3 linked regions of the Caenorhabditis elegans genome follow. The protein of the gene in region 1 purifies or fractionates together with the protein of each later gene. This does not show direct contact. Each region holds a gene or a part of one and is shown on either strand. Other genes may lie near its edges.

The links. The genes of interacting proteins can lie anywhere in the genome.
Region 2: the proteins of patr-1 (region 1) and K09E3.7 fractionate together in Caenorhabditis elegans (co-fractionation; one large-scale study listed by BioGRID). This does not show direct contact.
Region 3: the proteins of patr-1 (region 1) and Y48C3A.20 fractionate together in Caenorhabditis elegans (co-fractionation; one large-scale study listed by BioGRID). This does not show direct contact.

What each region holds. Positions count from the first base shown.
Region 1 is NC_003280.10:11,773,194-11,780,519, forward strand, and holds patr-1 (Protein PAT1 homolog 1), read right to left. Parts: upstream 4,751-7,326; 5' UTR 4,728-4,750; coding exon 4,667-4,727; intron 4,620-4,666; coding exon 4,477-4,619; intron 4,426-4,476; coding exon 4,264-4,425; intron 4,221-4,263; coding exon 4,029-4,220; intron 3,982-4,028; coding exon 3,397-3,981; intron 3,345-3,396; coding exon 3,066-3,344; intron 3,019-3,065; coding exon 2,519-3,018; intron 2,468-2,518; coding exon 2,134-2,467; intron 2,086-2,133; coding exon 1,840-2,085; 3' UTR 1,471-1,839; downstream 1-1,470. Other genes in the region: F44E5.15 (N-acetyltransferase domain-containing protein), read left to right, coding at 72-408, 456-541, 623-699, 747-846; F44E5.1 (ATP synthase subunit e, mitochondrial), read right to left, coding at 1,081-1,158, 1,208-1,366; dna-2 (DNA replication ATP-dependent helicase/nuclease DNA2), read left to right, coding at 5,255-5,333, 5,383-5,454, 5,520-5,627, 5,678-5,820, 5,870-6,127, 6,186-6,650, 6,706-7,326. UniProt on the Caenorhabditis elegans protein: RNA-binding protein involved in deadenylation-dependent decapping of mRNAs, leading to the degradation of mRNAs. Acts as a scaffold protein that connects deadenylation and decapping machinery.
Region 2 is NC_003284.9:17,130,279-17,137,088, forward strand, and holds K09E3.7 (BZIP domain-containing protein), read right to left. Parts: upstream 4,254-6,810; 5' UTR 4,215-4,253; coding exon 4,158-4,214; intron 4,109-4,157; coding exon 3,425-4,108; intron 3,234-3,424; coding exon 2,691-3,233; intron 2,641-2,690; coding exon 2,287-2,640; intron 2,241-2,286; coding exon 1,887-2,240; intron 1,841-1,886; coding exon 1,487-1,840; intron 1,441-1,486; coding exon 1,207-1,440; 3' UTR 1,070-1,206; downstream 1-1,069. Other genes in the region: cnp-3 (Calcineurin-interacting protein 3), read right to left, coding at 6,006-6,227, 6,281-6,810.
Region 3 is NC_003280.10:13,367,063-13,376,175, reverse strand, and holds the start of Y48C3A.20 (tRNA pseudouridine(55) synthase), read right to left. Parts: upstream 6,570-9,113; coding exon 6,426-6,569; intron 6,379-6,425; coding exon 6,284-6,378; intron 6,222-6,283; coding exon 6,119-6,221; intron 5,635-6,118; coding exon 5,411-5,634; intron 4,243-5,410; coding exon 4,083-4,242; intron 2,577-4,082; coding exon 2,291-2,576; intron 1,467-2,290; coding exon 1,069-1,466; 3' UTR 1-1,068.

The DNA.
Region 1 (7,326 bases):
TATAACTGTTGAAGCAGAGAGAAGAAGTGAATGAGCAATATTGAGCACACACATATGTTTTGTTTCTTCAGGACAGGTCCGAAGAATTGGGGCAAATGGTCTCAGGATGTTTCCCAACGGATGTATGGCAAGAAATGGAGCGAGTTGATGAACAAATCAAGCTAGATTTCCCTGGGACGACAGCTCATTGTTACCTACTCCTCCATCCAACTTTATTAGGCCTCGAAGATGTCAAGTTTGATAACTTTGTTTCCTACATATTTTATGTTGGAAAAGGAACAGGCTTTCGATCTTTACATCATTTCATAGAAGCACTTCAGAAGGAAAATGATCCTTATATAGATTCAAAATGTGGAAGCATCGTTAGCATATGGAACTCAGGTCAAGAAATTGGATGCGTAAAAATATGTTTGTTTTCGAAATGTTGAAATCTGATTACAAACTTAATTATTTAGTTGTTGGCGTGTCGAGTACGGTAGCACAAATAAAAGAGGCTGCAATGATCAAGGCCCTCTCTAAACACGACCTCACCAATAAAATAGTAAGCGAGTTTCCATAACAAAAATGTCTTAAACTTGGAACTTTCACCGGAACCCTAAATTCATCGCCATCTTTTTTTCAGGAAGGTTCCTTCCTTGGTTTATCGAATATCTGGAATAACAAAGATAAATGTCAGTATGGATCATTCTGCATCAGAAAGTACGGGATTTGTCATTTGACACCTTTTACTAACTTTTAAATTTCAGAGCATATGATCAGATGAAGAAGGACGATATTAAGCGTGTGAGCAAAAGTATGGTTGAATTGTTTAAAGATCCTGAAACTCGGAAATTATTTTCTCACTAAGTGAAATTATTTTTTTTTTTCCAATTTCTCAACAGAACATCCTAGAATTTCTGAAAAACCTGAATATAAACTAGTTGCCTTATTTTATCCACAGAATATTGTATAATTTTGCCGAACGTTTTCGAATCGGGTAGTTTATTCAAAAGAACATAGCATTACATAAACCGACAAATCTGGACAAAACTATTGTCCAATAAAAGAAAATTAAACCAAATCTAGGTGCATCCGACTGAATTAGTGATGAGCTGGGGCGGCAGCAGCGACGTTGGCGATGGCCTTGGCAGCTTTTCTCTCGGCGCGGGCAATTTCGGCCTGAAAATGAACAATTTTTTTTGAGAATAACAATAGGGAAACGCTTTACCTTTCTGTTCTGGTTCCACTTGAACATGTAGTACATCCCAACGTAGCTCAAGAGGGCGGCACGGCAGATGTTGGCACGTCCGAAATGCTCGTGTGGGTTGAGGTAGAGTCTCTTGGTTTGGACGATTGATTGCCAAATTCCACGAACGGTGTCTGCCATCTAAAACGGAATGATTGGAAACAATTTTTGACATTGAGAACAGAATTTAGAAAATAATACCGGAAAGAAAACCGATTACTCGACAAAGACATCATTAAAATAAATGAATAAATAATAATATTTATGAATATTTCTTTGGCAAAATAAGAATTGTGAGGTGGGATTACAATATATGTTTTTTACCTAATACAATATTAAATAAAGTAATATTAGGAGAGAATATTAGACACGTATATTACGCAATATATAATGATATCGAATATCGAGCTTGGGATAAGTTAGCATGTGACAAGAACCAACATCAAGTTTCACAGACAAAGTGATAATGTGATACTAAACGGACGGAATGATTCAGTAGGGCCGTATGGGGGATCATTGGGGGTGAGTTCAATTTTGGGAAATGCAAAAAATTAGGGGTTGAGAGGAAAATGTCACAATAAGGTCATCTCTCTGGTTAGGATGTTTAAAATAAATTAGAGTGATTGCTCGATTAGTTGAGCGACATCATGGCAATCGACAATTCCTGAGTACTTGATATCATCGGCAAATTCTTTGATCTCGCTGTCGCTAATGACGCTGAGAGCCTTTCTCCAGATACTGAGTGGAGCACTTGAAGGCATTTTTAAGCTGGAGAACTTCGTAGCTTTGGCCCACTCCACCAATTGTTGATTATTCTTGACACTGACAAAGAACAACGTCATCATCATGTCCCTGATGAACTGAAAACAAAAATAAAAAATTAATTAATTTCTAAAAATTATCGTTACCATGTTACTATCCAAAAGTTGCCTCTTGAGAGTATCCAAGTTAAGAGCTCCAACAAGATACTTGAATTGGTCGGGATGAAGATTTGAGACTTTCTGATAAACAACTGGGAGAATGTCCAGAACGATCTCTCCATACATCTTCTTGCTCACAAGTCCACCAGCCGTCATCAATGCAAGAATAATTCTTGCTTGGTCTCTTGGTTCAACAACTTTAAGAGTTCTCGTAATAACTGCTCTTCCTTTGGACATTTGCATGAGTTTAGACAAGTCATCCCCCATTAATTCGTTGATGATAACTGTCGTACGCTTCTCAACTTCTTGGTCTTTCTCATCGCTGAAATAATAAGATTTTACAAAAAAATATTCAGAAACAGTATATACACACCTGCTCAAGTCTTTAAACTGCGACTTTTCAGGCAGCGATGATCGTCGAAGCTCATCAACCTCCATCAGAATGTTCAATGCTCCTTCTAAACGTAGAAGCATCGTACGAAGTTTCTTCGCAACGGCGATTTTTCTTTCTTCGTCCGACAACTTCTTTGTTTGATTGTCCACGCTTTCTACTTGAGCCTTCATATCGAGAACATGGCGCGGGTTGTGGGTAGAAGATTTTGATGGCAAACCCAAACTTGTTGCAAATTTGTCTGAAAGTGTCTGCCGCAACTTTTTGTCTTCTCCACGATCAATTCGTTCTTGACGTTCTCTTTGTCGTTCCTTGTCACGTTCACGAGCCCTCTCTTTCTGCATCTCTCGATAATTCATTCGACTGATACGTTCAAGATAATCCTTCTGTGACTCGGACGACTTTTCTTTCTTCTCTTTAGTAGCTTCTTCCAACTTGGTTTCGGCAGTCCACCCGTTCGCTATTTGCTTATCACGCCATGTCTTTAAAATGTTAATTTTAATAAAACACTCTGAATATTTAAGCCTACCACATAGTAATAATCATCGACTTGCGGATCACCAGAACCCTTACACTGAATAAATTGGATTCTAATGAGCCATTCACGTTCCTTGTAAGACATGTAACCAGCGAAAGAATCAAGGGCAAGATCATATATTGTCCGTGTAGATGGCATTCCAGAATGTTTACGCTGAACTCTGTTTCCTGGACTGTGAGGTCCAGAAGGATGACTGAATTGTGGACCATTTTGCCTAATATTTGGAGGTATCGAAGACTGCATGATCATAGCGTGAACGAGCTGAGGATTCTGTAAAATAATTGTTTTTACAAATAAGGAACCAAGTATCATATATACTTACGCGATAATGATTCAAAAGTTGAAACAAAAATGGTGGCGGCGGTGGAACCCCCATTGGTAACTGAATGTTATTAATGATTGCATTAAACCATACAGGAATCAACGGTAGAAACTGTGGATTCAGTGGCGGCAGTCTCGGCAGCTGCATGTTTTGTGGTGGCATCATTGGTCCCATATGTGGCATAGATGTTCCCATCGATGGAGGCATACCGTGCATACCACCTGGAGACAACGACGGATCCATACGAGGTTGAACATTTTGATTGAATCCCGGAGGTGGATGTGAGAATTTGTTATCTTCTCGCATATCTGACGGAACTTGCTGTCGGCCTTTCAAAATTTGGGCTTCTTTCATAATTTGTAGCTCGAGTTCTTCTAATGAAAGAGCTGCGGTAGGTAGAGTGGGAAGAGCTTGGCTTGATGCCGTTGCCGGGGTACCAGGAGCAGCAATTCTCGCTTCAAGAGGATGCTTTGAGAATTGTGCGGATTGGGGTTGTACTGGAGTGCTTCCAAGTTGCAGATCCTTGAAAGCGTCTACCAACGAGTCCGGTTTGTTTCCCATCTGCATTCTCTCGCAGTCTTCAAGCTTAAATTTGATGATGAGAAGATAGATTCAAACATTATGAAACAAACCGTTAAAGCTGAACTAGGCATAGAAGGTATTTGAGATGATTTCACTTCCTTTGTTGCTTGAATCGTCGGAGTTGGTAAAAGTGCACCGAAATCAAGATCCAGTGTAGGAGCTGCAGGTACTGAAGAAATTCCGAAATTGGTACCCCAAATGTTATATGCTCCATCGGTCCCGTTTCCCCAAATCGATTTTTTCTGAAATATATTCTAATTTAAAATAAAATAACTTTAAACAAACCAAAAACGGTGATTCTGCTTCAAAGCTTGATTTAAACGAGTCGCTGGCATCACCATTTCCAAAATTTGGAAAAGGAATCGGAATTTCAGAGGCGCTTGGAGCAACGTGATCCGAAGATGAGGGTTTTTGCCAGACAGGATCATCGAACCTCAACTTCGCAGTCTGAAATTTAAATAATATGATTCCAATTGATTATTTTTCAAAAGTATATACCTGTGTCGCATAGTTCTCGAGCTCAGCATTTTCGCCGATATTGTCCAAGCCTCCACCGAATGTTTCATCGTTGGCTGCATCAAACTCGTCGTCGAAAATGTTGTGATCCTCGTCACTATCCACCAGAGATTCGGGAAAGTCATCTGCAACAAATAATCAATAGATTTTTGATCAATAGTTTAGCTCTCACCGAACATCAACCCTCCTTCGATCTCTTCGAGAGTTTTCCCATACTTTTTTACTTCTTCCATACCCGGCAGTCCGAGTTTAGAATCTGAATATACACATTGAAACAGATTCTACAGAGATATCAAGGAAAACATTGAAGAAACAGAAAAACAAGATTTATGGCTCATTTTTAGCAAATTTTCGCATTTGATAGAAGAAAAATTGTATTTATACTGTTAAAATTGATTCCGACAACATTTTGTTCCGCAAATTTCAAGAAAAACGACGAAAAACGATCGATTTCAGCTGGAAAATGTCTGCTGCCCGCCCGCCCGTTGCCTCGTATTTCGCAGCCAGAATCGCTGTTCCATGCGAGACCACTGCAGTGGAGACCCCTCTGTGCCTTTAAACAAAAGAGAGAGTGTGCATTTTAGAGAGAGCGCAGAGTTAGAGCGCGCGTGCTTCAAAAAACAAAAGCTTTTTCACGATTTCGGAAATCTTTTTCCTGTTTTTGATTGGTTTTTTTTGTTATAAATAAACGTTTCTAATAGATTTTCAAAAAAAAGCGTACAATTGTCACTAAATAAGACTTTTTTCAGATCTCTTGGGGATGGAGTCTCGCAAAAGACAGCTCCAAAATGTCAATTCAGAATCACACGAGCCGAAACGTCTAAAAGAGGAATTCAAGGGTATTGTGAAGATATTGGAATATTTTATAATATTCAAGGTTTGGTTCAGGAACCGAGCATGATGGAGACAGCGTTGACTCGTTCGAGAACTTCTGTCCGACAGCTTCCTCTCCAAAAGAAAGTGAGTTTTCAAGAATATTTTTTTTTATTTCTAAACAACAGAAAAAACCTCAAATTTTTTTTCAGAAATCAGCCCGAGGTCGAGAAGTGAAAGGATACAACTTCAAGAATGCGACGATGACGATTCGTTCGATGCACCAGTCATTAGTTCAAAACCTCCGGCTTTACCGAAAGGTTAATTCATTAAAATTTTTTGATTTTGCATTTATTGATTTATTTTTCAGATAGCGGAGTTTCTGGATTCCCATGCCTCTTCGACGATAAAAATGTGATACATCTAACAGCTCGAAAAGGTGAAAAAAGAGACGATTGTCTAGATTTGGAGTGTATAGACAAAGAAGGGACGACTAGGATAGTCTATTTACAGGTTTTTGTAGAAATATAATCTTGAATTTTAAATAAAATTTATTTTATAGGATCATTGGTCGGAAATGAGCATTGAAGCAGGATCCACGATTAACCTGATCGGAGCTCAAGCATGGGGAGATCGTGATTTCCTTGTCAACGATGACGTCGGAATCGTGATCTTAAATCCAGACGCACTTGTCCCGTGCACAGCCGTCGCTTCAGCCACATTTTGTGCTCGAAAAACGGTGCTAAACGACAAGTTTAAGTTTGGAAATGCCTCGAACAAAGCAATGCTTCTCGGAACCATTATGCACGAGATATTCCAGGTTTGTAAGGCGGACTGAAAAATAAAAATAAAAAACATTTCAATTTTTTTTCTTTCAGACAGCAATCACGAGCAAAAAGCGACCTGTAATGGAAAACGATTTGATGAAAATTTGGAACAAGCAGGCTCCAAAGTATGCCGAAGAGCTTGTGGCGCTCTCCTTTACTCCAAGCTGTCTGGACGCCGAGCTACAGCCTTACTTTTCGATAATCTGTGGCTGGATCAATAAACATTATCCACTTTCTAACAGCTTCTTCTCGAAACGCGAGCCTCTGCCGTCAAAATCGGAGCTTCTCGAGGTGTACGATATTGAGGAGAATATATGGGATTCAAAGCTTGGTTTGAAGGGGAAGATCGATGTGACGATGCGAACAAAGTCGAGGGGAGGAATGGAATCTTTGGAGTTGAAAACTGGCAAGAGCAGTTGCTCCAGTGAGCACACTGGTCAGGTTCTACTCTACTGTATGATGCAGTCGTCTCGATACGAGCAGCCTATTGGACCCGGAAATATTCTATACCTTAAAGTTAGCTTTTTTTAACCTATAAACTTATGGAAAATATAAATAAAACAATTTTCAGGACGGCGCCTCCCATTGTGTAACCCCGCGGGCTGCAGATCTTCTAGGCGTTCTACAGCAACGGAACAAGCTTTCAGTACACTTTGAGGATCCGACTACATCAAATCTTCCAGATCCACGTCAAGACAGCAGATTTTGCGACAAATGTGATCACAAGACGATGTGCTCATTCTATCAAAAAACCGAGGAGAACTTCTCGAAATCCAACGATAAAATGAAGAATTTCGCCGAGAATGAGATGGCTCATCTGGAGCAGAATCACATAGAATACGCTGCAAATTGGATCCGCTGGATTTCAGCAGAATGGAAGTGCGAACGAGAGCGAATGACTTCTCAGAACAAGGATCTCTGGCTCAAAAGTGTTCAAGAAAGAGTCGAAGAAGGAACATGCCTGTCTGACCTGCATCCTGTCTCCGAGGAAATGTCCAATTCGCAGAAGATTATCATCAGTTTCTCGCGGAAATTTTTGAAATCTTCAAATACCCCTACATTCCGCCCGGGAGATGTCTGTCTGTTGTCGAATAAGAAGCATATTGCTATTGGATTCGCGTTGATTGATGAAGTATCAGATGATCAACAAATTGTCAAAATTTCCACCGATAAAACTATAAAATCTCGCTAT
Region 2 (6,810 bases), on another chromosome or scaffold:
TAGCTGTAAACATCAATTTTTGATCTCTACGCCTTGGAAAAGTTACTGGGAGTTGACAGATTTAGAAGTTTAGTTTTCTGGTTTAATTCGAGTTAAGGGAAATTAGTAAGGAGTGTAGTAGTGTCAGTGAAGATCGGAAAAGACCGGAGTAGACAATTTGAAAGGAATTGTTCGGAGTCAACAAAGTTCTAGGAGGACCGGAGTTGACGAACCGAGAGAGTTTCTCCGGATTCCTTAAATCTAAACTGATGAGGAGAGTGTTGAGAAGTGGTCCAGCGGAAGTGCATCTTTTTAACCTCATCAATAAATCGTGGTTTTGACTAGCTTCTATTGTTCTCACGGCCACAACAGTTGCGATCAGGATGTTTCTATGCTTTGGTTTGTCTGAGTAACTGTTTTTGTATTATGAAAAACTAAACATTTACTGGCAAAACGCTCGATTTTGTATTATTTCTATTATTCAAAAATATTTCATTAATAAATCATTCAGAAAATTGAAAAAACTCTCGTAGATTTTGTTAAGCAAGTAATAATTTATAAAAGAAGGTTAGGATTATGGACATTTTTAATGAGTTGGTTTATGAGGATGTAGCACTGTATTTCCTCTTTTAGTAAAGCATGAAATCCTAATTTTTAGATACAAATTTCCTCGAATTTCTCAAAATTAATTCGGTATTGTTTTCCATAAATATAATTTTTATTGCTCTCACACTGCTTTCTAACACAAATGAACCTGGAATAAGTTCTTCATGCAAGACTGGAAAAAGTACAATATAAATCATTTTCATGTTTTTAAATGTTTTGAAATTGAGCACAAAACTTAAACAGATGAAAGCGAGCAAGTTCTCACAGCCTTACTATTTCTCCAACTTTTATTTCTCCAGACTTGTTGCAAATTCTTTAAATCTTCATATGTATATCTTTCATATGTATTATGAAAGTGAGCAGAAAAAGCTGGAGTTATCAATTTTCTTCGAAGCTGATAAGACTTGATATCCACACAATTTTTGCTAAATTCATCTGCATATTCCAAAAAAGCGAGTAGATTGCGAGTAGACAACATGGAGCTGACAAGAACATGTTTATTTGTGAAATTCGAGTGGGAACTAATTAATCTAAAGCTAATTATTTAAAAATTGAGATAAAACTACTTTTCAACAATAAAAATCCAATACACATTTGAAATAAATTATTCTGATAATACTTCTAATACTTCTGACACGCTTGAGAAACATTATTCAAAAACGCTGCCATGAGTTGATGGTTTTCGATATGCCCCAAAGTTGATGGGGTTGGTGAATTGATTTGAGCAATGGCTCCTGGAGCAGCAGTGGGTAGAATGTTTGGATACGACATAATTAGAGGCATTGTGCTCCTCGAGATCATTGAAGGATTCGGTGTGATCACTGGTGGAATCATTGATGGAACAGGTTGTGGTGTCTGAAAAATTGATATTAGTTATGGACAACATATTTGTTCAACTCACAAAGGAGAGTGGCATAGTTGGATGCTGATTCCAAACAGGGAACCGTGACTGTTTAGCTTCCATGTTAGAGCCACGAAGTTGTGTGGGCAGTGGTCCATTGATCGTAAAATTTCCACGCTTGTATGACAAACCGTCCACCCTATCAAAACAGGCTTCCCGTTTTAAAGTTGAGGCAGGAACGGTTCTTTGCTGCTCTATTGCTCTCAAAAACAAAGTGAGTGAATTGGCTGGAGCAACGTCTCCCGGAGCAATAGTGTGTCGAGTATTTGGGAACGAAATTATTCCAGGCATTGAGCTCGTTGAAGGAATCGTAGGGATGAATGCTGGGATCGTTGGTGGAGTTGATTGTGTGGGCTGAAAAGATTATTTCAGTTAGGGTCAACATGTTTGTTCAACTCACTAAGGAGAGTGGCATCGCAGGATGTTGATTCCAAACAGGGAACCGTGACTGTTTAGCTTCCATGTTAGAGCCACGGAATTGTGTGGGAATTGGTCCATTGCTCGTAAGATTTCCACGCTGATATGACAATCCGTTCACCATTTCAAAAACGGCTTCCTGTTTCAAAGTGGAGGCAGAAACTGTTCTTTGCTGCTCCATTGCTCTCAAAGATGAAACGCGTGAATTGATTGGGGCATTGTTTCCAGGAGAAATAGTGCCGTGGATATTTGGGAACGACATTATTCGAGGCACTAGGGTAGTTGAAGGAATTGTAGGGATGAATGATGGAATTGTTGATGGAGTTGATTGTGTGGGCTGAAAAGACTATTTCAGTTATGGAAAACTTGCTTGTTAAACTAACAAATGAAGGTGCCATAGCTGGGTGTAAATTCCAACCAGGAAACAATAATGGTTTAGCTTCCATGGTGGAGCCATTTACATGTGATGACATTGGCACACTATTTGGAAGATTTCTACGCTTGCATGGCAATCCGTTCATCCTATCAGAAACGGATCTCCGTTTTAAAGTTGAGGCAGGAATTTCTCTTTGGTGATCTATTGCTCTCAATGACGAAGTAAGTGAATTGATTGGAGCAACGTTTCCCAAAGTAGCAATGTGTGGAATACTTGGGAACGACATTGTTGGAGGCACTGTGCTCGCCAAAGGAGTTGTAGAAATGAAAGCCGGTATTGTTGATGGAGTTGATTGTGTGGGCTAAAAAAAGAGTTTTCCAAATCGATAGTTTTTTTTTTCAAAAAATTTACTATTGTGGAATCTGGTCGCAGAAGTTCATCAATAGAGAATCCCGCACGCTTTCTGTTTGAAGAGTTGAAGGTATCATTTGTTCCTTTTTGATCTAGAGTTGAAGCTGGAACTGTTTGACGTGTCAGTGTGATATATGGAGACGGCAAGGCGGTAGGTGTTGCATGAGTAGTGAGAGCCTTCACATCCTCTACTTGAAGTTTTTCTTTGAACTCTGGCGAACAAGTTGTTAACATGTCCACACTTTGCGGTCGATCAATCGATGCATCCATCTCACTTGCGATAGTTGTTTTTCTGTTAGTTAAGAAGGAAAACGACAAGGAAGTGTCTTCACAATCTAACTCGATTTCTGGAATATCTTCTGTCCAAGGAAAATCGGCACTTTTCAACAACGAAATCCAGGCAGCAGAAAGTAGACGTGGTATTTGTGAGTCGGGCGCGAAGTATACCACAATTCTTTTCATTTTTTCCTTGTCTGCATCTGCTGCGTGTTGAGAAAAGGTGATGAAAAGCAGGTGATGGATTGCTACGATTTTGTTCCAAATCTGAAAAAATAACACGCTTCTGTTGCAGTTTTATTTGAGGAATGTAAAAGTTTATCATTGTTTTGAAAATAAAATAAGGTAGAAAACCTAATCTTTTACCAAAAATTTGCTATAAAGTGTTGGGGTCAATTTTTGCGAAAACTTAGCAACATATGCTCTACATAGTTGTCCTAATTCATGTTTTAACTTACATATTTCTTCCGTTCGTTGATGTACTCCTGAAGCTGTTCTCCTTGGACCATCATTGTATTAATGCTCTGCCAACATACCCAGCAATCACTTTTCAATTGCTCCCGTACAATTCTGCGATTCAACTCGAGCTTTGACGATGCATAACGGGTTTTTTCCTTTGAAGAATTCATATTGTCCTTTTGGCTTGTGAGCTTGTGATATTGCTCGCGTAGTTTAAGCAGATTTTGGGCGTAAAAATTGGAAGGCTCTGTATGGTGGTCGACGAGCATGGCGGCTTGGCCTTTTTCTTGGAAACATGCCAAAAAATCATCAACATGTGGAATTTCACAATGAATTTTGTGAGGCGCATCGATATTTGTGTACTTGGAACAAATGTCTTCACACTCTTTGATCATGGATCTAATATTCACTTCCACTGTTTCCACGGACATCTCCTCGATAAATTGCTTGAATCTCCGTTCAATCGCTGTTATTTTGAAGAATAGTTTTTGGAAAGTGGCATATTCACGATTCCTTTCTCTATACTCTTTGCAGTCCTTCCTGTACCTCTTTTTGCGGTTTTCTTCGGACTCTGGCTCGGCTCTTTTATGACAAGATCTATGTTTTACACGCTTTAACAAGCTCCTGCGGTCAAAGATAGATATGTCGATCTTTTTAACTTTTTCTGCCAAACCTTTCATATTCTGAAAATGATAGTTTGACAATTCAGAAGCTTAAAGAAAACAAACTAACCAATAAATGATAACTTTCATTGTCAGGTTCAGAATTTCTCACGGATAAGAGATCCATTTGCTATTCACTTTCCAAGTTTGAATATTAAAACTGAAATTCGTTTGTTGTGTTGGTCAACAATTTGAAGTAAAAAACAAAGAATTAATTATGCGGCAAGAACAATCGCACTTCAAAAAAAAACATTCGAATAGCATCATATCAAAATATTATAGAACAAGAGCCCAACAAAAAGTTTCAAAATGATTTGCAAGAACGGAAGCATATTCTCACTCACCGAACGCAGTTATAAAGACAATAAAATCACTGTCAAACGCGTGAAATGGCATGGACCATAGAATGCGCGAAACACCGCCGCTGTCAACAACAACAGTCTTCTAGAATTGCAATGGGATAAGCGAGAGAGTGTGAGGAAACGGGAGGCGTAGCGCGCGATATTAAATTATTTTACCGCGGTGTGCGGAGGGCACTGTCTTATGGACAGGGCGGAAAGGACGGCAACTGAAAATAAGAGGTAGGCAAAAAAGTTGACGGCAGTAATTTGGTCAAAGATCTCCTTTGTTGCTCAGGACAGGAGCTAAACCTCTTCCCAAAATAACTCCAAAATACTTTCAGATTTTACTGATCCGCACAAGCCATTAGAATCATAAAAAAAACAGTTTTAAGGTATTTTTAAAGACCTCACACGCATGGCAAAACACACAGGAAATTTTCAGATTAAAATTAAACGAGATGAAACAAAAGTTCACATTTTTTGCAGTGAAGTGTTCTCCGTAAATCCTTCTCTTGTCTGATAAAAAATTTTAGTGTCCAGAGATATGAAATGATATTTTTCTAGATGCGTTTGTGAAAAAAAACCTGCCCAATTTAGTTTTGAGACACTTATGTTTAAAAGCTAATGTTTGCAAAAAGGCGTTGTTTCTGAAACTTTCCGATCCCGTGGAAATGAGCTTTACTGAACCGTCACTAACTGGAAAATGTAAAAAATACATTGGTGATTATTTCGTCCGATTAAACAGTTTGACCTATCTAAAATTAAATTTCACAAAGATAGGTAACTTCAAAGCCAACTTTATTCCGCAAAATATAGTTTTAATTCAAGAATAATTGTCTCGAAAGTAAATTGAGCAACATTTTATTTAAAATTCGGAATTTCCAATTGATAAGCGTTCAGAAAATGGATCACTCATTCTATATTTCTTTTCACAGCATACGGTATTCCCTATTGAGAGGAAAATAAAAAAACTTCCACTCCCTATAGAAGACTAACAGGTTTTTGTGAAAAGTGAGAAAACACCGTTCATTAATCTGTAATTACGATGACCGTATAAAATTTATATTTTAAATTTCTTCAATGCGTTTTCATTTAAAATAGTATACGGTAAGCAAGTTTTCACTGCTAATTTTTGCACTACTCCATGTTCAAAAAGTCAGTTATTCCCCCATTCCACATGTTCTAGACTTGCTGGCAATTCTCCAAAAACCAAAGACGACTGTAGCATCAGAAATAGATAAAAGTGTTGAGGGGAATCACGCGTTTTTATAAACTGTGTCCTTAAGAACACTCCGTTGTTGAACTTTTTATTTGTGAAATTCAAATGTGAGTTAAGTGAAAACAGAACAGAATCAATAAAGTAGAAAACAAAGAAAACATAGAAAATTCAAATTTTCTGAGCCCGGTAATGTTGATAGTCAATATATGAATCGATTATTTAAATGAGTAAGTCCCTAGAAACAAATTGATTATAAAATTATCAGTTGACAGTCCTACAGTACCCTGAACTAATTGTGAAAGCATACGGTTTTTATTAAGATTGCGTTAGAACAATGAATGTTCATTTAATAATTTAATTACTTCTGACATTTTTGAAAAGCGTGATTTAAAAATGCTGCCATTAGTTTTTGCTGCTCTAATGCTCTCAAAAATGATGGGGTGAGTGAATCGATTGGGGCAACGTCTCCCGGAGCAGCAGTGAGTAGAACATTTGGATACGGCATCATTGGAGGCATTGTGCTCGTCGAAGGAATCGTAGGGATGAATGGGGGAATCATTGATGGAATTGATTGTGGTGGCTGAAATATAGAAGTTTTTGAAATGGACGAACATTTTCTCAAAAAAAACTTACCATTGGAAGTGCTTGGTAATTCACCATTGGGTACATCATTTGTCTAGATGGCATAATTGTCTCAGTGCGCTCTGCTCGATTGGGTTCATCAATAGTTACACGTTTGCCGGTTGGACAGGCCAACAAGTCACCAAATTCTTTACGTTTTAATGTCGAAGCTGGAACTGTTGGGAGTGTGAGTGTTCCGGATGGTGATGGCAGCGCCGGAGGAGTTTCTTGAGTCGTTGAGATCTTTCTATCTTGCACTTGAAGCTTCTCTCTAGGAGAAAGCGTTTGCTCTGGAGAAAGCGTTTGCGACATGTCCATACTTTGCGGTCGATCAATCGACATATCCATGTCACTTGCGATTGTTGTTTCGTTGTTAGATAAGAAGGTAGATGACGATGGAACTTCTTCATATTCGACTTTGATTTCTGGAATTTCTTCTGACCGTGGAGACTTGACAACATTTGGCATTGGATTCCAGACAACAGATAGGTGCCCTGGTGTTCTCGAAACTGGAGCAAAATATTCCACAATTCTTTCCATTT
Region 3 (9,113 bases), 1.6 Mb from region 1:
ACGAGAAATTTTGCTCAGAAAAAATGGATTTTTGCACATTTTTCAAGCTTAAAAACCGAAAAACGCCGGCAATTTTAGTCGGAAATAGGATTGATTTTTTTTTGCCTAAAATGACGAATTTTGAATTAAATTTCAAAAAAAGTCGATTTTATTTGGAAATTTTATAGAAAAATTTAGGAAAAACCACCAAATTTTGCAATTTTAACTCAAAAATCTGCCACAAAAAGTTCAGAATTTCACGTATTTCACCATTTTTTTTCGCGAAAATTCGTAAAATACCGCAATTTTCACCGAAAAAATCCGGGGTTTCACAGGATTTCCATCAAAAAATTGCTTCAAAATTGCGAATTTTTGGACCAAAAAATGCCGAAAAAGTGAAATTTTGTTCCGAAAAAATGGATTTTTGCACATTTTTCAAGCTTAAAAACCGAAAAACGCCGGCGATTCTAGTCAGAAATAGGATTTTTTGGGAAATTGAGAAGAAAAAACGAGAAATTTTGGTGAGAAATTAGGAATTTCGAGCGTTTTTTTTTCAAATTTTGGAAAGAAAAATGGCTTGCTCAATTTCAAACAAAAATCAGATTTTTCGGAATTTTCTTTAAAAATTCAAGTTTTTTGGTAAAATTAATAGGAAATTTCGTATTTTTTCTTTGAATTTTTAGAAGAAAAATGCGTTAAAACTGAATTTTTTGTGCGAATTTTTTTTCCAATTTTTCTAGAAAAATATCTAATCTTTCGGAATTTTCTGTGAAAAATTCATATTTTTTCTGTAAAATTACTAGGAAATTTCAGATTTTTTCGCTGAATTTTTTAGAAGAAAAATGCGTTAAAAATGAAGTTTTTGAGCTAATTTTTATTTAAAAAAACCGAAAAAATCTAGATTTTTCATAACTTTTCTGGAAAAAATCCAAAAAAAATTTGAAAATTGAAAAATCCTATAAAAACCAAATTTTTCTGAATTTTCAGATTTTTTTTGAATTATCAGGAAAATTTTTTTTTTTTTGCCCTTTCAAACATTTTTCTCAAAAATTCAAAATTTCTGTGCGAAATTTTCAATTTCAATATTTTCTATCGAAATTTAACGGGCTCCTGTCCATCCTTAAGCTCCGGTGGCCATTCCAAATCAACTTTCTCCACATCCAGCTCCAAAATATCAACTTCTCCGTGCTCAACGTCAAGGAGCTCGGCAAGCGAAGGCCTCGTCCTTCCAAAATCTCCGTGAACAAATTCCTTGATATATGTTCCTGCTTGGGTCTCGAGACGAACTTCAAAGTGGTGATCGTCCAATTTTAAGAAATTCATCGAATAAATCCATCGTTCTCTGTCGAGTAGAGCTCGACGCTTCATCACACGAACTGGCGTCTTTTGAACAATTTTCAGCGGGATTTTCGATTGAGCAGCGGTGAATTGGGAGTCAGAAATTGGGAGAATACTGTAGCAGTAGGCACAATATTGCTTTCGTTTGTCTGCAAAAAATTTTGAGATTAGGCATTATTTTAAAGGATTTTTTTTCTCCATTTTTTTGGTAAAACTCTAATTTTTTTTGTAAAATTGATATTTTTGCTGAAAATTTGGATTTTTTTTTTACAGAAAATTTCATAAATATCTGCAAATTTTGGGTACAATCCGTATTTTCGGCAATTTTCCAGTCCAAAATGCTCCAAATTTTCGGATTTTCTTAGTTTTTTTTTTCTTGTTTTCCAGAAAATCGTTCAATTTCTCCGACTTTTTTGGGTACAAATTGTCGGTTTTTCTTGAATTTTTTGCCGAAAAATCCCTGTTTTCAGCTATTTTTTTTTGTCCAAAATGCGTTAAATTGTCGGATTTTCTTGGTTTTTTCCTAGTTTTTACTAGTTCAATTTTCTCCGACCTTTTTGGTACAAATTGCCGATTTTTCTGGTTTTTTTTGTTGAAAAATCGTATTTTCAGGTAATTTTTAGGCCCAAATGCTCCAAATTGTCGGATTTTTTTGGTTTTTTTTGCTAGTTTTCCAAAAAAAAAAAAGTGCAATTTCCTCCGATTTTTTGGGTACAAATTGTCGGTTTTTCTTGATTTTTTTGCCGAAAAATCCCTGTTTTCAGCTATTTTTTTTAGTCCGAAATGCTCCAAATTTTCGGATTTTCTTAGTTTTTTTTCTAGTTTTCCAGAAAATCGTTCAATTTCTCCGACTTTTTGGTACAAATTGCCGATTTTTCTTGATTTTTTTGCTGAAAAAATAATATTTTCAGCAAATTTTCAGTTCAAATTGCTCCAAATTCCATTTTCTGTTTCCATAAAATTGTGCATGCACCTTCTTCTCCAACACACAGCTTCTCAGAAACATCCCGTGGAACTCTGGTCAGCGACACGACTTTCACATCCTTCTGTACATTTATAGCCTCCTGAACCGTCTTCAGTGTCTCCAAATACTTGATTCCTCTCACTGGAGCCGTCGTTCTACAATTTCGGAGCTCAACGACAAATGGGCGGCCGGTTCCGAGCATTCTGACGTCAATATCCTCACGTCCTGACGTCACGAATCGACTATCACTGGCTCCGAATTGCTTTTTCAGGAGGTCACACACTTTTTCGGAAACCTGCAAAAATTTCGAATTAAAAATTTTTGATTTTTTAGGGGAAAAACTCAAAATTTCAATTTTTTCGATTTTTTTTTTGTAAAATTTTGATTTTTTTTGTTGGTAGAACTCCCCATTTTTCATATAAATGTGAAAATTTTTCCGGATTATCGCGATTTTTTCAGTAAAATTGACATTTTTCTTGAAATAATCGATAGTTTTTAGGCAAAACTGTAGTTTCCGGTAAAACATTCGATTTTCCTGAAAATTTCGATTTTTCGTCAAAAAATTTAGTTTTTTTAAAAACTTTTTTTTTTGGTAAGAAATGATTTTTTTGGTAAAATTTCGATTTCTTCCAAAAAAAATTGGTATTTTACTTGGAATTTTTGAAAAATTTCGAAATAAATTTTATAAATTCCCTAAAAACTAAAAAAAAACCGATTTTTTTGGAACTTTTATAGAAAAATTTTTAAAAAAGAAAAATTCAATTTTTTTAAATTTATAGAATATTCTAGAAATATTTCACCGAATTTTTGCAGAAATTAGGGGTTTTTTTTTTTTTTTTTCTTGGAAATTTTCTTGAAATTTTGCTCAGAAAACTTGAAAACTCAAATTTTTTTTAGATTTTTGAGGGGTCAGAACATCAGAATTTAATTTTTTTTTTAGTCAAAAAAATCTTAACTTTATTTTGCAAAAAAAATTCACATTTCTAGATTTTTTATTCGAAAAAAACTGAAATTTCCGAATTTTTTTTTCCAAAAGGCCAGAAAATTCAAAAAAAAATCTGCATTTTTCCCAGAAAATTAGGGGAAAATGAAATTTTTGTAGTAAATTCAGAAAAAGCAGAAATATTTCTTTAGAAAATTCCATTACAAATCTGAAAATGCAGATAAAAAATTGGAATTTTTTGATTTTTCCAAAAAATTGTCCCGGAAATTTGGCAGGATAACTGGGTTTTCTTCAATTTTTCGCCTGGAAATTGTCGAAAATGTGTCTAATTTTGGCCGAAAAACATGAAAATTCTAAATTTTTTAGAGATTTCCGTGGATTTTGGGTAAAAATTTTGATGTTTTCTAGATTTTTTCATTAAATTTATGTTGATTTTTTATTTCAAAAGCTCCAGAAAAAAGGTTTTTATAGATTTTTTAAAATTAAACAAAAAAAAACTTCAAAAATTGCATTTTCAGAGCAAAATTTCATTAAACAGTCGAAAATTTGTTGAAAAACTCGCATTTTTTGGGTAATTTCATTTTAAAAAAATCCGGGAAAAATCAAATGAGATTTTGTCGATTTTTTTTAGTTCTAAAGGCTCGAAAATTAGTTGATTACGCTGAATTTTCAGCTTTTTTTGAAGAAATTTCACCGGAATTTTATGAATTTTCCGATTTTTGAAGGTTATTTCTAGATTTTTTTCAAAATTTAAATTCCAGATTTTTCAAGTTTCAAGTGGAATTTTCTTCAATTTTCCATCAATTTTCCATCAATTTTCCATCAATTTTCCATCAATTTTCCACTCAAAAATCGAACCGAATTTCCGGGCTCTCTCGGAGCATCTTTATCCTCACTCCACGGTGATTGTGGTAGACATCTTGAATATTTACAATATCTTCCAGCAATGTATACTGGATCTCGTTCGAATTGAAGTTGAAATGTGCATTTACGGGTTGGCGATTTGAAGATGTACTTTCTGTAGAGAAAATATGGATTTTTTTGGGGAAAATTGGTGAAATTTGGTGAATTTTAGGTCGAAATCGTCGTGAAAATTCAGATTTTTTGACGTGAAAATTTTCAAATTCACACAATTTTTAGCTGAAATTCAGATTTTTTGGGGAAAATTGCGGAAATTTGGAGAATTTTATTAGGTCGAAATCGTGAAAAAATTGCGGGAAAATTCCGATTTTTCAACAAAAAAATCGGATTTTTTGGATTTTTTGTTGATAAATTTTGGAATTTTCGCAAAAAATTCGGAAATTTCATGTAAAAATTGTCTTAAATTTTCTATTTTTCGCTCTAAAATGGGCCCTTAACGTTAAATATGAAATTTTCTAGAGAAAATAGGCTTTTTGGGCTGAAAATTCGGTCGAAAATCGGCAAAAATTGGAGTTTTTGGCAATTTTTAAGGCAGTTTTCGATTCATTTTCCAACTTTTTATTGATTTTCAGGGCATAAAATTCTGAAAAACTGCAATATTTGACAGGTTTTTGCCTGAAATTGTGAAAATTCGGAGAAAAAAAAGGAAAAATTGTTTAAAATTTGAAAATATTGATTTCCGCTCAAAAATGCATTTTTCTAGTTAAAATGTGGGGTTTTTCCACGATAAATTTGGAATTTCCGTTAGAAATTATATTTTTTCTTGGAAAAATGGCTTCAGTATTTCAAAATGTAAGTTTTGAAGGTAGAAATTGGAGTTTGAAGCAACAATTTTTCAACATTTTCCAAGTTTTTATTGACTTTTGAGGGTATAAAACGTTGGAAACTCCGAATTTAGCGAAAAAAATTGGTTTTTTTTTTTGTTTAAAAAAATAGTTTTTCTTGTTCAAAAATTGTAAAATTCAGTGAAAAAAGGATTTTTATGTGGGGTTTTCAACGATAAATTTGAAATTTTCCGTTAAAAATAACGAACAAAGAGTTTTTTTTTGGAATTTTCATCGTTTTTTCGCCGAAAAAATAGCTAAAAACTTTTAAAATTCAAGTTTTGAGCTATTTTTCAGACAAATTGTGGAAAAATAGCTTCAAAATTCAATTTTTAAGCTGAAATTTGGTCCAAAATCGAGGGTTTTTGACATTTTCCAACTTATTAAACCCATTTTTTGTGCAAAATTTCCTATTTTCTCGTCGGTTTCCACCGCTATTACTTTGCAATTTGCTCGTTAATCCTGCCAGTGACCTGCTGTAATTGCTGTTTTGATACACTCGACGGCGCTTCTTGATTATTATTATATCTTCCACGTTTTCCAACACGAAAATCGTTCGGAAATTGATTTTGAAGAAATTGTAGATCCGAAAAATTCGATTCCTCCTGCTCAAAAGTGATCATAAGCTGGAGATCTGAGCTCAGAGTTGGTCGTTTTCCGGAATACTGCAAATTTTATTAATTTTTGACTCAAAAAACTCTAAAATTGGAGTTTTTGGCAATTTTTAAGGCAGTTTTCGACATTTTCCAACTTTTTATTGATTTTCAGGGCATAAAATTCTGAAAAACTGTAAAAAATTTGAAAATATTTCAAAAAATACTATTATTCTGCTCAAAAGTGCAAAAAATGTGTAAAATTTAGCTAAAAACGGATTTTTTTTTGCTCAAAAATGCATTTTTCTACGATAAATTTGGAATTTCAAGTAGAAAAATTCCAAAAATGCGATTTTTCATATTTTTTCCTAGAAAAATGGCTTCAGTATTTCAAAATTTAAGTTTTGAAGGTAGAAATTGGAGTTTGAAGCAATTTTTCAACATTTTCCAAGTTTTTATTGATTTTTGAGGGTATAAAACGTTGGAAACTCCGAATTTAACAAAAAAAAATGGATTTTTTTCGTGGAAAAGTCGTTTTTAGGTAATTTAAGCTTACAGAGCCCAATTTCTTCAAATATCCATCAATATTTCGCACTTTATACGGAACAGAAGCCAGTGTCCCATTGAAATCCGGTCGGAGACGGCTTACTAGAATCTCCCTGTCAAAAATTTAAATTTCGAGTTTTTGGCGGCGGAAAATCAACAATGATTCTAAAATCACCTTAAAGTCTGTCCAACGGGCAAATTCAACGCCAAAATGAAGCTCATCGAGTCGTAGGGCAGCTTGGAGAGCTCTTCTTGCACTTTTTCGCCGACCTGAAGCATTTTTATGGATATTTTGTATAAAAATCGTGAGTTATAACCTCATCAATCATTGCCTGATCCATAATCCCGAAGCAAAGCTGACATTCGAAAGAATTTTCGCATTTTGTCACTTCCTCCGCGTCTCCAGAGATTTGTCGCACGCAAACTTCGCACAAAACTAGCGGAGTTTTGTCATTTGACATCTGAAATGTTGAAAATTAAGTAAATTTATTGAAAAAACAAAAAAAAATCGAGAAAAACCGAGCATTTTGAGGATTATAATGAGAAAAAAGAAAAAAAAACTCGAACAAAGAGGAAAACACAATAAATTCGAGATGTGTGCATTTGCGCGTCACGGTGTATGCACAGAAATGTCTGCCGTCTCTTCAATTGCCACACTGTTTCGTTCAGTTGCGAATTCAAATTGATCCACAATGAAACATTTTTTGCAATTTGGAAAATATTTATATGGAAAAATATAATTCATAAATTCGCAATTCTCCGAAAATCATAATTAATGTTCAACTAATTAATTAGTCTCTATAGAGAGGGGTCCATGGAGAGGTCAATTTTCAATCGAGTTTTCCCGCACAGCTACTGTTGAATTCTTGTATAGACGGCGATATCGTCATTCGATTTCATGCCACATTATGGACGATGGCACATTTCATCTCGAATTCGGAACGTTTGACGGTAGTCGAAGAGTTCCAACATGTGAATGGAAAATATCAAAAATATTTGGCACGCGAGGATTGATAGATCATTTGATGCAGTTGCTGAAAATATCAACAGTTCATATGGTTGATATTGCCGTTACATTGCAACTCACTTTCTAAAGTTCACGCAAACAAACTTTGATGGATTGAAAGTTGAAGAGGTAACAATTGACGGAGCAACTAGGATCAATGAATTACTTGAGAAACTGCCTCACGTGGAGAATGTATCATTGTGGTCTGAGGACGAAACAAATGTAACAAGACAAAATTTAGTTGGACTTCAAAGCGTTCTTCGTCTTTTTGTATACATTCCTGTAACACTAAATGATTTGCTAGTAATGGATAACCCTTCACTTAAATGCGGGAAAACAATTTTGTCTGAAAAAGATTTGACTTTAATAATCAAACACTGGAAAAATGGATGGAATCCAGGGTTAAACTTCCTGGTCTATAAGTTTGAAAGTCAATCGCCGCACTCGAACCCATCCTCAATCATGAAAGATTTATCTGAGAAAATTGTATTAGAAAATGGTGAACCAGCTTTTATAATTCAAAACATTCATGGAACCACACGAATGGTTGAATTCAGTTTATTTGAAAGAATGATGGCGGGATACGTTGCAGTTCGTTCAACACTTCCTACTTATATCAACTAATATTAATGTTTACTTTTGTTTTCAATCTGTTAATTATTTTTCATGTATTGCATTCTCTTAAATGGTTTAATAAATTCTGATTTTTAAAAACAGTTTGTACGTCCCTGGTGTTCAATGTGTTCAGTCGGTACCAGTGTTGCCAGTCATTCTTATTCTCTCCGAGCATTTGAGATCGATATTTCATCATTCTGATATGTTCAAAATACATGGTCCAAAAACAGTCAACTTAGAGAAAAAGCTATCAGAATTGCCACTGAAATGGTAAAAATACAACAATTTGTATAATAACAAGATATTAAAATTGGACAACTTATATATCGCCAATTTAATTTTCTGGAAACCTCCCTAATTCTAAAATTTTAAAATAAAATACATACGAATCATCAACGTTTCCTTTTTGCTCAATTCAAATTTCATAACCAACAATATTTAATTTCCGTTTCCACCCCCACCACCTCGTTTCCGGGCTATTTTAAATCGTAAGCTGATCAAAAACCACTAGGTGATAAGGTTTTTAAGGCTGAAAATATTTGTATATTTTCAGCTCCAAAATAATAATATTCCAGATTGTGTTTGCTACAGAAACAATACCGAGAAACGGATGAAAAAACTATGTTTTGAGGAAAAACAACACGAAAGCACGTAAATAGGTAGGTATGTAGGTAGGCAGGTAGGCAGGCAGGCAGGTAGGTATGTAGGTAGGTAGGTAGGTAGGTGGGTAGGTAGGTAGGTAGGTAGGCAGGCAGATAGGTAGGGGGCAGGTAAGCAAAAACATTTACATTTTTCTGACAAAACGGAAATAAATCTAGTGCTCAATTCAAGTTCCGCTACACTTTCCCACCACGCAAATAACGTATTTTCAACACTTGGTAACCTCATTAAATTAATTGAATAATATCAAAAACATGCCCAACTTTCCAATGAGAAACTTGTTATTTTTGGGTATTTGTTATTCAAGATATTAGGTTTCTCCTCAGCTTTTTCATATGCTCACATTGTTTTCAGCTGTGCTCTTCACTTGGCATTTTTTTGGCATTTTTTGGAGTCTGGTTTTTTTTTGTAATTTGAAAAACTTTACAATTTTTTGGAGTTCTCAGTTGAAGTTCACTACAATTTTTCCTTTTGTTTTTTTTCCTTGTGAGGAGATTTAAAAAAAAAATTTCAATGTTTTGAGAGAATTTCAGAAAATTCACCAACTAGGTTTTTCAGAAAAGTTATAATACATTGAAATATGAATTAGTGCTGAAAAAGTGCTAAATTTTGAAAAATGAAAAAAAAAATTTCTTTGAAGTTAAAAAATTAAAAAAAAAATGTTTAAAAACGAAATGAAGCAAATAAATGGAAAAAAAAGAAAAAAAAGAAAAAGAAAAAAACG